2 linked regions of the Lepisosteus oculatus genome follow. The protein of the gene in region 2 purifies or fractionates together with the protein of the main gene of each other region. This does not show direct contact. Links are inferred from orthologs where the notes say so. Each region holds a gene or a part of one and is shown on either strand. Other genes may lie near its edges.

Evidence for each region. Proteins that work in one complex are often made in the same cells at the same time.
Region 1: the proteins of vapal (region 2) and lsg1 purify together in Homo sapiens (co-immunoprecipitation; 4 studies listed by BioGRID and IntAct, counting the BioPlex papers as one, with this or other methods). This does not show direct contact. The link is inferred for Lepisosteus oculatus from reciprocal best matches to the Homo sapiens genes VAPA and LSG1.

Annotation. Positions count from the first base shown.
Region 1 is NC_090708.1:9,096,624-9,104,564, reverse strand, and holds the start of lsg1 (large subunit GTPase 1 homolog), read right to left. Parts: upstream 3,047-7,941; 5' UTR 2,915-3,046; coding exon 2,816-2,914; intron 2,032-2,815; coding exon 1,905-2,031; intron 199-1,904; coding exon 78-198; intron 1-77. UniProt on the Homo sapiens protein: Functions as a GTPase. May act by mediating the release of NMD3 from the 60S ribosomal subunit after export into the cytoplasm during the 60S ribosomal subunit maturation.
Region 2 is NC_090701.1:56,563,022-56,570,912, reverse strand, and holds the start of vapal (VAMP (vesicle-associated membrane protein)-associated protein A, like), read right to left. Parts: upstream 3,079-7,891; 5' UTR 2,999-3,078; coding exon 2,941-2,998; intron 1-2,940. UniProt on the Homo sapiens protein: Endoplasmic reticulum (ER)-anchored protein that mediates the formation of contact sites between the ER and endosomes via interaction with FFAT motif-containing proteins such as STARD3 or WDR44.

The DNA of each region.
Region 1 (7,941 bases), on a different chromosome or scaffold from region 2:
CATAAAAACTATATATTTGTAAAGACAATGAATGCTTTAGAGTCATTCGTGTCAGGCAACTGGTGTGGCTGACTTACCTGCGAGGTATTCTGAGAAACTGCTTGTTCTCTTCATGAAGCTTTTTAATCCTCTTGCTCTCTTCTGGTGTCAGTAAACCTGTTCTGGCTTCAGCAGGAACAAACTTGATGTTGAGCTTTTCTGAAAAGCCAAGATACAGCAATTATGTCAGAAGGCAAACAACACACTCTTATAGTCTGCCAATAAAATCACTGTCCATTACTCTGAGCTCACCAAACTATAATAGGCTACAATTTTGGGAGTACACTCCAGCTTGCTCACACTTTCAAAAGTGACGTGACACGTTAATAAGAGTTGTTAAAAGGCAGCTTAAACCAACTAGGGAACAAGTTGTAGTAGTAATAATAATAATAATAATAATAATAATAATAATAATAATAATAATAATAATAATAATCTTTATTTTATATAGCGCCTTTAAAGGTGGCTTCTCAAAGCGCTTTACAGGATGACATTAACAATAAATAAGAAGACTACAACAATAAATAAGAAGATTTCACAAGACACAATTATAATTACAACAATACAACAATAACAATAGAGGAGACCGTGGAAGGTGGTATTAAGAAGAGCAGAGGGGTGAAGAGTGGGACAAGTTAAGTAAAGGCTTTTCTGAAGAAGAAGGTTTTGAGTCTGGATTTAAAGGAGTTTAGAGAAGGTGACTCTCTGATATCCTTGGGCAAAGTTCCAGAGCTTGGGGGCATAGCAGGAGAAGGCCCTGTCCCCCATACAATGTAGACGGGCTTGGGGGACAGTAAGGAGGGCAGAATTAGAAGAGCGGAGGTTGCAAGGTGGGGAGTAGGGCGATAAAAGTTCAGACAGGTATTGAGGTGCCAAGCCATGTAAAGCATTATAGGTGAGCATGAGGATTTTCAAGTCTACACGGAATTTGACCGGAAGCCAGTGCAAGGACTCCAGGATAGGAGTAATGTGAACACTTGCCCTAGACCTGGTCAGGATTCTGGCTGCTGAATTTTGGACATACTACAGCTTGTTCAGAGTAGATTTAGATACCCCAGGGAGTAGAGCATTGCAGTAGTCAATTCGAGAGAATACAAATATGCTGATCAGCTTGTCAGCCACAGTTAATGATAGCATAGGGCGGAGTCTTGCGATATTTCTAAGGTGAAAAAAAGATGTTTTGACAGTATGCTGTACATGTGGGTCGTATGTTAAGCCAGAATCGAATATAACCCCAAGGTTTTTCAATTTTGATTGAAGCTAGTACAGAGCCATCTACAGACAGGGTTACAGGACTGGCTTTACGAAGTTGATGGGGGGTACCAATAAGCATGACTTCGGTCTTGTCACAGTTAAGATGAAGGAAGTTTTGAGTCATCCAAATTTTTATGTCAGAGATGCAATTAGATAGACTAGAGACAACCACATCGGGTTTGGTATGGATGTATACCAGCTGAGGCCATGTGATCTTAAAAGCTGACCAAGTGGGAACATGTAAATGGTGAAGAGCAAGGGGCCCAGTATTGAGCCCTGGGGGACACCAGACTTGACAAGACCAATTTCAGACCTGTACCCATTGAGAGAGACAAAGTGACAGTGACAGTGACAGAAAGAAAACACAACATTTTGGCTGTGGAGCCTTCTTTGGCTCACACCTGAAGAAGGCTCCACGGCCAAAACGTTGTGTTTTCCTTCTTCTCTTTTCAGCATGGAATAAACCTATTACTTGTTCCTTTGCAGCCTACACATGCTGACGCAGCTACCCACCTGAACTACTTAAACCAACTAAGTTCACTATGATTTTAGGATTTGAAATAATCAAACCATGTTTTGTGTCCCCCTAGAAAATATTGACCGCTCTTTACCTGCAACAAACTCTGTTCCGGCTAGCTCAGCTGTAGCTAAGAATTCATCCAGAGAGCTCTGCTCTGTGACTGACTGCAGGTTCAGACGGCCCCAGTCGTACCCATCATTCAGTTCACTGGTGTGGAGCTGTAAAGGAAACAATATGATCTTGTTACGTTAACACAAACAGCACTTCTTCCATCATGCACTGCATAGTTACCGCAGATCCTCGCTACTCGCACTGCTCAGACAAATCTGACTGTTTTATTAAACCAAGAAGCACATTAAAAGGAGGAAAAATGTACAACTGGGCTGTACTGTACGTCCTCCTTTCTTGAAGTTGAAATCAAAGTTGAGTCACAGAGTGGGGCCTTTTGTTGACATTTTTTGACATCAAGAACATCGAATTATTTTAAAATATCTAGTGCACATACATTTCCAAATGCAATTTCCAGACTCCAAGAATCCCTAAGATACCTTTCAGTTTCTTCTAATTGAAATGATTTGTTTTCTCTGTAAATTTTTACCCGAAGCATCCCATTCATACAGCTCGATACTTTACGATGTGTGTGAAGTACCTTTGCGCAGGAACACACCTGCAGTGTCTCCCCTTTGATTTTAACCCACAGTCTCCCAGTTACAACTGCAGAATCCTAAACCACCTCACACAGCTGTTTTAGGGAAGAAAATCTCCACCATCGCCATCTCCGTCTTTTTGTTTTTCAAGTGTCACCCTGCTAGTCACTTTAAATGCAGAACCCAACACCATTTCCAGAAAACAATTAACAAAAATCATTCTAAAATGCTATTGTACACATAGAAAACTAAAATTATATGAACCATTAGAAGCAGTACTTGTATTTTTTTCCCTGACTGTTATACTCGTCAAGGACTTTAAATCACTTCGAGTTATTAAATAAATGTGAAGTACCCAGGAATCTGCTCTGTTGCCCCGACCTGCCAGTTGCCTCTCCTTTATTAAAGCCCTGCCTAATCCAGCGCCTCCGCCGCCAGTTTTCTTCTTTCCCATTTTCGCGAGTTCACATTAACTTTTTTTAAAAACAACAACTTTCTGAATACGATCCAGTCCGGAGTTCTTCAAGCACAGCAGCAACAGCACCTTCCAAACTGACCATGTGAGCACTGTTGTCATCAGGAAGGAAACGGCTTGGAACAATCTACTTTCTCGAACAATAATGTACACTTAGAACTTTATGGGGGAAAAAACAAATGAAAGAAAACATAAAAAATTATCACCTAAAAATCGCATTTTTAAAGACCATTTGGATTATCAGAACGTATAATATATGCAAAATATATTTAAAATTTAAACAAATGTAGCCTTCTGAGTGTATTGGTACATTCCAGATAGCCTACACATAAACGCTCGTGTAAAACAGCGACAGCGAGTGATAGTTCCCAAATCATGTTATAATGCTCATACAGTAGTTGTGACATACTGGAATTTTAGTCGTACAATTATCCAGGCTGTAAGTTATCTTTCTCGTTAAAGCGAAAATCTTTTGCTCATCATGCTACGAAGCAACGATTCTGTTATTTCAAGAAGAGCACTTGTTTTCAAAGGAACAATTCTCTATTTTAGTAATAAACATTTAAAACAGAACGGGGAAAACTCAAATTTGTGATACGTCGTGGGTCAGTTAAGCCATGAATTAAATGTATTTTAGCAATTTATTTGATTGGTTTTTTTTCATTATAAATTTTGTTTTTTTTTATTTCAATTTAGATTTCTTAAAGAAACAGACAATTGTAATTATATTCTTCCCAAACCAGGCTTCTCAGTGTTAATTCCCCAAGAGATGTTATCTTCACAGACTTTACAGAAATTATATCTTCACAGAAAAACTCTAAAAATGGGCTATGAGGATAACAGAAACCGTATTCAGCTGTAATTTTGCGGATATGGACTCACATAAGCAGATATTTACGGTACAATAAAGAATGCAACAGAATAATAAAACACGATATATAAAAGTTGGTTCTCAATTTCAACAATAGTATTAAAATTTGCTGTGCCTAGCCTTTATAGATGAGAAAAGGTAGACCTCAATTTCAACCCATTGCTTGTAGTGATTCATATTTTAAAAGCAAAACAATTTTTGTGGCATAATTTATGATGGCTGGCACCATGGGCTCTTGGGTTCTGAAGTTCTCCCTGTTATTTTGTAGATTTTGGCAAATTGCTCTCACTAGTTTCATCCCACAGTTCAAAAACATGATGTCTAGGTTAACCGGCATGACTAAATTTTTCCATGTGCGTTTGTTTGTTGTGCACCCTGTGATGGACTAACATACTGTGCCCATTGCCTGCTGAATTAGGCTCCTGGCGCACCACAATCCTGTATAGGATTTACTGATTACTGAAAATGTATGCTAGGATGTATAAATAGACAGTTACTATTTTCAACTTCTTGGATCAAACAATTAAAAGGTAGTTGGCCTTACGTTACTGTGCAATCCAGTATAACAGTCTACACCATTTCTTGGGGGAGCTCTGTGTAAATACCGAAGAAAATACCAGTTGTACAAGATTACAAAGATAACTCAAGTGAATTAAAAATTAGATCACAAAGTTGTGAAAGGTAAAGCACAGGTAATAGCAAACACAAGGCTAAATAATTTCAGATACTTTCCCTGATCTCTTTAGTTTCACTCTGCTCTATATGAACATTTTTGCTACCGCCACCATACTCAAGATGCTTCAAAAAGTAAATAAAGAGTTTTATGCCTGGGATTGTCTTGTTCGAAAATAACCGAGCTGTAATGAAGTACATTTGATAGCCAAAACCTTATCATGCTTTTAAAAAACAAAATTGTTGTGTGGACTCTCTGTCTATAAAAATGTTAGATCCAAGTTAAAGTTCTAAAAGAAAAATTCAAAGATATGGTACTATCCTCTACCATCCAAAATAGTAAAACCTACTCTTTGCTCCATTTTCTGGTGTGGCATTTTCTTTAAGACCGAAAAAAGCTAGGATGCACACATACTTTGTGTGTATGTTTTACAAGTAGCTCTCTTGCAATCCCTTACAATACAGGACAGATTGCAAATGACATTTTATTTAGTATCATTTGAGTTTACAGAATAACTGCAGCAAAGAAATATGTGAGATTCCCGTTAATTTCACTGTGCATTTGTAAGAGCCTGACACTTTATTTGAAACTTGTGATCCTACACACCTGCTAAAGATAAACCTTTTATTGAAAGGACAAACCTACTCCCGGAAAAGGCACTGCAAAACAAAACGACTCATTTCTGAAACTGACATTGGCAGATGAATGTCACACATTTCACAGATCATGCAGATAGTTTATTTTGCAGCCAGTCCTGTGTAAAATCTAGACAAAAAGGTAATGCCTACATCCGATATTTGTCAGTGTGTCAGTTTAAAATATATCACACTCCCTCCCCCACTTTCCATATCAGTCACTTCTAGAGGCCGGCTCGGAAACAATTTTTAGTAAACAAGTCTGCGCGGTAGAGGAAGGATGCACCTTAATGGAAAAAAAGAAAAGAAAAAACATTTTCCTGTGTTTGTGGCCTACTTAATGAGAAATGGTGAGGAATCCCATAACAGCACCAGAATAAAAGGGTTCAGATTTTTTTGTCTAAGCCAGGTCACACCATTTGTGTGATTTTAACACTGAATAAGCAAGGGTTGGGTGGTTCAAATATTATACAAATATTAAGTCACAAATAAGGTTGGACCTGATTAATATTTTATTTGCTTAGGCTGTAAGGATGGAATCAGACCTTGAGGGCAAGCCAATCACTAACATCTCTGCTGGTTATTATTACAATGTATTTTTATAAGGAAATGAGTATCACAAGCAGCAGTTTGTCTAATTTCCCCTTCTGTTTTGTGATTCCCCATCCACTGATATGCATCAGTGCTAGTACACTGTTCGTCATCTGCATATCCTTTTCAAATCCATAAATGCTCTTCCAGAAATCAATGTGTCTGCCAGTGAATCCATGACAAGCACTTGTCAAACGCATTCATCATGGTACATTTACTGTATGGGGCTTCTCTGTGAACTGTAAAAAATACCTGTGTGCCATTGCAATGCCAGAATTTCAGATTCGACAAGTGAAACATTTAAAAATATCCTATTTAGCGTACAATGCATAATGTCATGTTTGCAATAGGTGTATGTATTTTGAATGCACCTATCTGTAATAACACTTATTGTCAATATTTAGAGTGAATCATTTAAAAAACTAAACAATGTGTCTTGAAGGTTGAAGACAACAGCCTGCAGCCCAGGTCATTCTCTAGTTTAAGTCTTCTACAATTAGATTAAATCTTCTTATGCCACGGGTGAGCTCCCTGAGTTGCCCCGAGCAGAAATCGCAAGGTCCCTTGTTATGTCACACGTGTGTTTCCTATGAAAATGATACGGCTGCCTATCTGGGCTGTTACTTTCAGACTGCAGTTCTTGCGATGCCAGTTGTTAAGAAATTTGATCTCTTTCCCTAGTGCTTGCTGAAGATTAAAGCAGAGAACAATAGTGGCAGGTATCTCCCAAACATGCAGAGGTACAGTGTAAAGGAACAAGTAATAGGTTTATTCCATGCTGAAAAAAAGAAGAAAGAGAACACAACGTTTCGGCCGTGGAGCCTTCTTCAGGTGTGAGAGAGACAGGGCAGTAGGCAAAGGTAAAGTAGCGGGAGAACAAAGGCTGGGAGGGAGGAGGAGTGAGAGGCAGGAGCAGGGGACAGAAAGAGAGGCCAATCAAGAGGTGTGAAGTCAGAATGGGTGCAGAGAGGTGTGAAATGAAACTTCCAATGAATGGAGAAAATTTTAAAGAACAGTAATCTGTCATTAAGGGAAGAGAGAATGTGTGATCCCAGCTAAATTATTTTAGTTTCGGTGGTCTTTCTGATGTATGAGAATCAGAAGGTACAGTGTAGTTCGTTTGTACCTGGGGCCCTCTAAAACATAAGTCAAAATGCTATTTTGAGTTGAAAGGAAATACTGTACTTGTCAGAGATTTATTAAATTATTAGATTATGTTAAGCATGTAACAAATATGCATGCTTATGCATGTTTACTCATGTGTTAACTGCCCTGATGTGGTCATCAGAATTTAAAAGCTTTCTTGGTCAGCGTCTACATGGGAAGTTGATTTCTGGTGTAAAACATGTTTCCCATTCTTGATCTCCGTAATTTATTTTTTAGTTATGTGTGAGTGAATCTTTTTTGTAAAATCAGAAATGGAGACAGATCCATTAGAAATGTTGGTCCTCAGATCAGGGCTAAAGAAGGCCATAGTGCAATTTGACCATGTGAGCCAAATAACACATTAAAGGAATCCGAGACGTTTACAGTTTGCATTTTAAAAGCTTTCGAAGTGTGCGTTGTTGTTTTAAATAAATGTTATGATATAATTCATTTTTTCCTAAATCAATGGGTTTTTGTGTGACACCGGTTTAAAGTCATTAAGCTAACCCTAACTTGCATTCAGCTTTTCTTGCAATAGTCTTCCAACAGATGGCGGTATTAAACAATTTTGCAAAAATATTCGATATCGTGTGTAAAGGATTTAAAGTAATACAATCGTTGGTAAAAAGAAACAGTTTACGATTATGTGATGTTTTTTTTTTAAATCAACTCATTACCCCCAAACTATATTTAATACAAACACTCAGTCTCACACATTTTAACATATTATAATGCAGACTGGCATGTTTTGTCCTATATTATGTGCTATAGTTTTATTACTTTTAATTCTGTTTGTGTGGAAATATACAATAGTTCGTAATCCGTTAATTGATTTGTTATGCCTATTTTTATCTGACGTTAAGAAATTAGGTTATTGCACATAATTGTCTAATTTCTCTACGTTTTTCCTTACATGAAAACAAATCGAAATGCCATAGAACATAAAATTAATGCTTTGTTTGAAAAACTGCCGTATGATCCATGTTAACAAGAACACCGTTGTTAGTCAAATACAGCTACCCCTTTAAGAAAAAGTGCTTCAGTTCTCTGGGTTTATCCGTCCTTCGTCTCCCCTGCACTTTTAAGAAAA
Region 2 (7,891 bases):
GTGATATAACTGAGCACAGGATGTAAGTGACAGTAGTCCTACGCCAATCCAAGTGAAACCACCCCTCCATTGTCTGCCCACTTTATCCAACAGAGCGTCGCAGGGGAGACGGAGTCTATCCTAGCCAGCAGCACCAGGTGATTACACGCGTCCTGAATGAATTCGGTGTGTGCAGTCGCCCATCATAGCAGGTGCACCTAGCGATCTGCTACCAGAGCTTGCCAAAAGCACCTTGGCTGTCCCTTTGTGTTAAGTTGCAGGCAGGCCATTCAAAAAAAGTATGTGACACACACCCTGGCGTCTGACAAAGCGTGATCCAACATTCTGCGTCCAATTCCAAGGAGATGCAGATGTTCACAGGGGCAAGAGGTCTTCAACAAGAAAAACAGACGCGAGACTCCCACCACCACGCCACTTGACGCATTTCAGGTTTTACAGTAAGCTCTTGCGTTAGTCAATACCAGGTGCTGGATGTCTCATGTTTCTTGCTTTAAACTACGTAATTTTAGACAGACATTCAAAGTTAAATATACAGCCTGCATATCCTGTTCCTTCAGTTCAGTCTGTACCAGAGCCTACAGCCCCATTAAATCTGAACTGCATCGAAATACCGTGTAACACGGTTACTGCTACTGTGACAGGGCTCGGTGCACTGACGCAAGTTCGACTTCACCCCCTCTGGAAGCTGGACTGACAGCTAGAGGCAGAGACCTGGTCTTTAAGCTAGGCGCAAGTACCCGCTGTCTAGAGAGTGGAGTCGCAGGTGCTCGAACCCAGGCAGGGGCAAGGAGAGCTACACTGGCCACACCACCCAACAAAAGCCTTGTTTCCCTTATTGGGGCACTGCAGAGATGTATCAGAGTGCCCCAGAGCTAGAAGCCTGTCTTGGAAACAAAAAAGGAGCAATTACCTCAAAAATGCAAGCAACATCAGGTTGTTCACATCTCCTAAAAGTCAGAGAATCTGAGACAGCATCTGATGTCAAGCTCTGCTGTCAGAAGAAGACTTCATGTGCTAGCTAGTGTAACAAGGTGGTAAGCTATCATCCTGAATAAGGCAAATCACCACAACTCCTCCACTTGCCCTGCAACTCCTCTTACATGCAGAAGGGCCTCCCATCTAATATTCAACGGAGCACTTGCTGGCCCAATTCTGTGTAATAATACCATGGTAATTACGCTGGGCGGCGTGGTGGTTCAGGGGTCAGTATTGTTGCTCCGCAGGGCTGGGGCCAGAGGGCCATCAGTGTGGAGCTTGTCTGTTCTCCCCATGGTGGCGTAGGCTTCCTCCCATCGTCCAAAGACACACTGTTAAATTAACTGGCTTATAGGAAAACTGACCCTGGTGTGAGTGAGTGCGTGTGTGTGCGCGTTTGTGTGCCCTGTGCTGACTGACGTCCCATCCAGGACGTACCCTGCCTTGGGCTCACTGATTGCTGGGCTTGGCTCTGGCTCTGCCTCAATCCTGGATGGGAAATGAATGGGTGAAAAATCCCATTCACGCTCCCTAAACCAAACAACTTCCTTGAAAAAAACAACAACAGAGTTATCATGAAGGTGGGGTAGCCAGGAAGGTCTCCTGACCTCGGAGTTTTACAATGTCCGGGATATTCTTCAGAAGACACATGCCATCACAGGCAACAGTCTCACAGTCTCTAGCTGGTCGCCGTCCAGAATAAGGAAGTCGAATCCAGCTTGAATTTACCTGCTCTGCAGAGCTGGGGATGATTTCGATCCAAGGAAGCAGTGCAGTAACTTCACTTTGACTATGTGCACCTTTTAAACTCTCTTTCACAACATTCTGGTTTCGATTAGAAACATTACAACGTGTTCTCGCCTCAGATTCCATCCTCCTTGGGTGAAGGGGGATCGATCACCCAGCACCCGTGCCAGATAAAGTTGCGGAGAGGCCTCGTTTCCTTCCCGACTTGTCATATGTCCTTGTGCATTCATTGTTGAAAAACGCTCCTCCGAAAATTCCTGCACAACGGCAGCCATGCAGTTTATCGGCTCACTGTTTAGATTAATGCACAGATTTCACAACCGTGATTCCCTGTTCGTGAGATCAGATTCAGGGCAGTTTCCACCTTTGTCCATTACATCCGCGTATCACACTGCAGAAATGTTTACTTTTTTTCTGGCACGTGGATGTCATCGTCTTTGCCATTTCTCGTCCCCTGCTTCTCACTGATAAGCGACTTTCACTTACAAAGACAAGGAAGACCAGGCGAATCTGGAGCAAAGTGTCCGAAACAATATCAATATCTCCGCTTGCCGCTTTCTAAAGCTTTGCCTGCGATTGCAAAGGCACAAGTTGGATTCATTCAACACCCAGGAACGCAATGCTCCGCACCGCTTCCAAAATAAATCGCACTAAAACCGTGAAATGCAATCTCCTTAGATTGAGTCTTATTCCTGCAAAGGAGTGTCGCCGCCACCACGATTCAAAGCTGTTTCGGGCACAAAAATCCCTGCTCTTTCTCTCAAGCCGTCTGTCGCGTCGCTAGTCCACGTAGCAAAAAAAATAATAATACAGACAACACAAAAATCACACACCGGCGGCTCAGTCCATCGCTGCCGGAGCTCACCTGCAACGCCCGGGCCTGACACATCCACACCACCGACACCCCGACCCCTGTCACCGCGGCTACAATCACACTCCGGCCGGGCGTGCTTGCCAAGGGAAGCCGACGTGGCGACGGGCGCAGCTCAGCCAGCTGCGCTGCGGCGAGAGCCTTCTCGCCTGCCGGCTGCGCGGCTCACGGGAGACCGCGGATCCGCCGCGGCCCACCAACTCCGACTCCCTTCCTCAAAATGGCGGCGGGCAGTTTACCCCGAGTAACCGGAGGGGGGGGGGGAGCGAAATTATCCCCCGATTTGGGTACTCCGGGGCGGCTGCGAAACCCGGCTCCCCCGCCCCGCCACGACGATGGGTCCTTACCTTTGAATTTGAGATCGTTTGGTGGATCGAGGATTAGGATCTGCTCCTGCTTGGACATTTTTGCTGGGGAATTCCGGTGATGGCGGTGCCGAGCTGCCGCTGCGAGAGCGAAAAAAAAAAACCCCGAGAGCAGCACTGAGTCACTGGGCGGCGGGGGCGAGCGCACGAGCACGCGCAGCCCGGGGACGCGCTTCCCCTTTGAAGGGCTGCTCAGCTGCAGCGCAGTGCAGACGCCCTCGGCAGCCACATGCCTTCATATATTGTGATGATGGCCATTCGGTATGTGTCCCGGGTTAAAATCGCTTTATGACACTGGCCCTCCTTTATGTACAATGCGGCAGTGATGCCTGTAACCTGACCACCACAGATCCCAGAAGCTAAGCATAGTTGGGCCTGGTCAGGACAGGGTCCTCTAAGGGAAAGCAGGTTTCTAATCTTAGTGGCTTTCTCCCTCCTGGGTTAGGATTTCCAAACAAGTTCCTGAGTATGGTGCCCAGTGACGCTGATATGTCAGAGGAAACCCCCTACACATGAGAAAAGTCCTCACTACTTGTGGTCATTAAAGATCCCATGACACTCTTCATAAAAGCAGAGTTAAGACTTGGCCGAATTTCACCCTGGACATCCATAACATGGCCTCCCTAACGACTGTTAAAGTGGAAGAGGTATCAGTGGGAGCAGCAGGGGGCGCTCACCCTGTGGCTCATGTGGGTCCTAATGCCCCAGTATAGTGAAGGGGACACAGTTTATGAGGATACTGGAAGAAACTGTATTAAACAGAACTCATACAGAAGAGGAAGTGTTGCAGTATTTGAACCATTTAAGATACTATCTATGTCACAAAAGTAAGTGAGGAAATGATATAAAGTATAAAGAAATCACATGCTGTTGTTGTACATGGAAGGTTATGCCAACATAATTAGCATTAAGGAAGAAGTTAAAGGTTTATTCCAGAGAGGAGGTGGAGGTGTGAGAAAGACAGGGGAGTCAGAAGGGGTTATATAGAGAGTGTAGGGGAGGCGGAGTGGCCACCTCTGTCTTTCTCACACCCTGCTGTGTCCTTGATTCTTCAGTGCTCTGTATCCCTGCTGCCTTCCTCTTTCACACTCACACTTGGAGTAGGCTCAGCAGTCAATTTTTTGTTTTTCTTTTTTCTTTTCAACATGGAGTCTGGGACTGTGGTGGTATAGCATAGGTCCCATGACCGGCAGGTTTTGGCTTCGAGTCACTGCTGAAGACAGGGCTGTTGTACCTTGACTGAGGTGCTTTACTCCAGTTGCTCCAGTCCCCCCAGCTATGTAAATAGAGACCAATATTGCTGGGGGTTAAACCTTGTGAAACAGTGTCCCCTCCAAGCAGAAAATAATTTGTTCTCTCGTCCAGCTAACACTAAGGAAACAAAGACAACCTCTGGCCCAATGAGTTACTGTGGCTCTATTCCTAAACAAGAAGACGTGTGAGGCAGTACTGTTTTACTGAATAGTCAGAATGGTTTTAAAGAAGGTAGATTTTCCTTAACAAACTTGCTGAGCTCTGCGTTCTTTGAAGGTTATTCAATTATGCAAATCCACAGACGAAAATCCAGTGGGCTTCTTCAGGATCATCAGTGAAACACGAACAAGAGGATACAGATAGAAACTATGGGGAGGTACCTTAAAAGAGGGAGAATGGGAGACAAAGTTTTATGGAAGAGTGGAACAAAATATTCAGCCATATTCTTGAAAGTGATACCCTGTTTTCTTCCAAACAGCAGCTGGATGAGATCCTTGGATCTGTTGGCAACTAGCAGTCAAACAAGCTCACTGGACTGAAAGACGTCCTCTTGTAGGGAACCTTTTTAATGTTCTCATGTTTATTTATGAACTCCTGGTTTTTACTTGCATTTTTGTTTTGCTTTGTCTTGGTGGTTCCCTTAGCTTTTAAAAAAATAGAGAAAATCCTCAAATGGCTTTCACAATAACCAGAGTAAATGTGAAGCAACTAAAGTGAAATTCGTGTGGTGACAGTTTTACTCCAGTTAAGAGGAAACGTTCTTTGTGTTTCACAGACTGCTCCCTGCAGTGGTCGTCAGTTTGAGCAAAGGGAACAAAGTGTCGGAAATCCTCTTTCAGTCCAGCTAAGATCAACAAAGGTTTTCAAAGTCAGAAAACATGAAGGGGTACAACTTTGCTCCCTTCTTTTTGTTGGTGCAACAGATGTTGCTCGGACTCGGGGGTCAGGTGGCGATTCCTTCACTCTTCCACAGCAGCCTGAAGCAGCTGCACTGTCTGTGTGTGAGGTAAACACACACGTCTTTAGATTTATTTTGAGGAAAAACAAAATAAAGATCTGCAAAGCAAAATCACTGTTTCCTATACATCATCTATGCCAGTGTACACCCGACTTTAACACGTTTAAACTGGGCTGTAGTATTACAGAAAAAGAAAGACTGTTTGTGATTAATAACAAAATAATGTATATTTCATAATAATACACTGCACACAATTTTATAGCCTCTTCAAACTGAGCATTTCCCATTATGTATTTATGATTTATAGTTTTGGTATTTGCATGTAATATTTTACATTTGTCTGTTTGAAAGATCATCTGCCAGGTATCTACCCCATTTTAAACTTCACCTGAATTCTGAATTATTAGAAATATCTGAATTTTATTTTAATGATATGGAGCCATAATAGAGCTGCACTGACTGTTCAAAGATAACTGAAAGAGTTTTAAGATCCAGGTATTCTTGAGTTGAGACACTTTTCATTAAACTCTCTTCCACATGTGTATACAAGATCCGCAGGGCAGGTTAACAGCTTTACAAAGCCTACTGTCAGGCTGTCAAGGGACACTTGTCTGTGGTATCTGTGTCCTCAAATTGTTGCAGCCAAAAGTTGTTTAAAATAAACTGGCAGGTAGTTCTGCTTTTAATTTACTCCTACACATTGCTAATTGACACAGATTCATGCAGTAGTTCAGCTGTCAGTATCAAATTAGCACCTTCAAAATGTGTCACAGAAATCTCAGTCCTAATTATGAACTATATGTAATGTTCAGTAGTTTTACTACTGCTGCTACTTCTATTATTAACACAGATGAGTACAATACTACTTACCTTTCTGCACATCATTGGATATTTTTGTTCCTATAATACTACACAATACTATTATTGAGAGTCAAATTACATGGAAGGGTGTACCTGTCTCAGCCCACAAATAAAAGCAATGACAATTTGCACATACCTTCCTGCTGGTGTCTACTGGTTTTTCTTATAATGTTACATATCTTTGCTGAAAGACGTACATCAAATATTCAGTGGCATACACTTTTTGTATTTCCTTTCTCATCTTTTACGTTTTAGTTTTCACGCCTTTTGCACTGCGTGATGCTCATAAAGTGTGGAGTTATTTCTCTAACACCAGCCAGAACTCTACAGGACCGAAGCTTCCTTGTAAAAGCTTCCTGCAGCCAGTAGTCAGGGCTGTTGAGAGCAGTAGCGAAAGGTTTTTGAGAAGTTAAGGAATGCAGGTCTCTTAACACAAGACAAAGATTAATCACCCAGAGAATAAACTCAGTGAACAATTCGTCTGTCTGTGGATTGTGATTCTCCCCTCTGAATCAGTACCCTTTGCAGACGTTAAGAATGCCAGCGGTCAACTAGATTTATAGAGCTCCGCAGTCACGTGTACTACTCCAAAAATTTGCTGTTAGTTCCAGTCCATCCAGACAATTTAAACAATGAGCCAGAAAGATGCGGTTCCGCTGTTGTGACACTTCAGCGTGGTGAAATTAAGGAAGCTAATAGTAAGATATTATAAGACATTCAGGATTGGAAACAATTAAGGAAATAGGGTAAATTGAGCATATAATGCTAATCATGTATTACAGATGAAAGCATTTAGTACAAAATGATCAATTACATTATTATAATCATAATACATGATTATAATATGATTTTTCAAAGCTGTGAAATGAATCGCAGTCTGTATATAAAGTTACGTTTTCCATGGCCCTTCAGTTATTTTACGTTATATTGCTGTCAGTGCAAGTTCATTGATATCATATTTTTGTTTTCCAGGGTTAAATTTTAATGCATTTAGGCCTCCAAAGTGTGAAAAACGACTTGGTTATAAATGTGAGTCCCGGTACCACAGACTGAACTGCAGCACACAGGCAGAATTCCCACTGGCACAGTCCTGTCTGAGGTGACATTTCTGGTAATATAATTGATTCCTCATACAGCTAACAAAGCAGAAGACGTTCACAGTACAGCTAACAAAGCAGAAGAGGATTATTTAAATATTTTAATAAATGTTTAACTTTTTTACTTCTCCTTTTTTTTACTCCTTTACTTTGTCTTGAACACTGAGCCAGTTTTGCCACGTATCATGTAAAACGAGCTTTCGAAACAACAGGACGAGATACATGAGAGAGAGCTGCTTCAGCATGTGCAGGCTGCAAAGGCAGGCACAGTTAAAGGTTTATTCTAAGCTGAAAAGAGAAGGCTCCTGCACACCTGAAGAAGGCTCCACAGCTGAAATGTTATTTGTATTGTTCTTTTCAGCATGGAACAAACCTTTACTTAATGCACAGTACCACCGGCCCTCATCATAAAGTATCACACAACATTTCACATCAGCATCACACATCTCCTCACACAAACTCTGCCTATAATTTGAGTACTTGAAGGCATTTTGTATTACATGGATCAATGCCTTTTTACCGTATATGATAGGTTTCAGTAAACGTTGGAAAGCATTCACAAATGAAAAAAACAGGATTTTAGCAGCTGGCGATATGTGATATGGGGCGGGCTGGAAAAAGAGCTGGATTCCTCTGCAGATGTTACTGAGCAGGTTCTCTCAAACCTCCCCACACCCCAGAGCGCCTCGTCACTGACCCCTCCCCATACGCCGTCAACATCCGCCACGCGCTGCTCCTAGCGACAACACTCATCACCTGACCA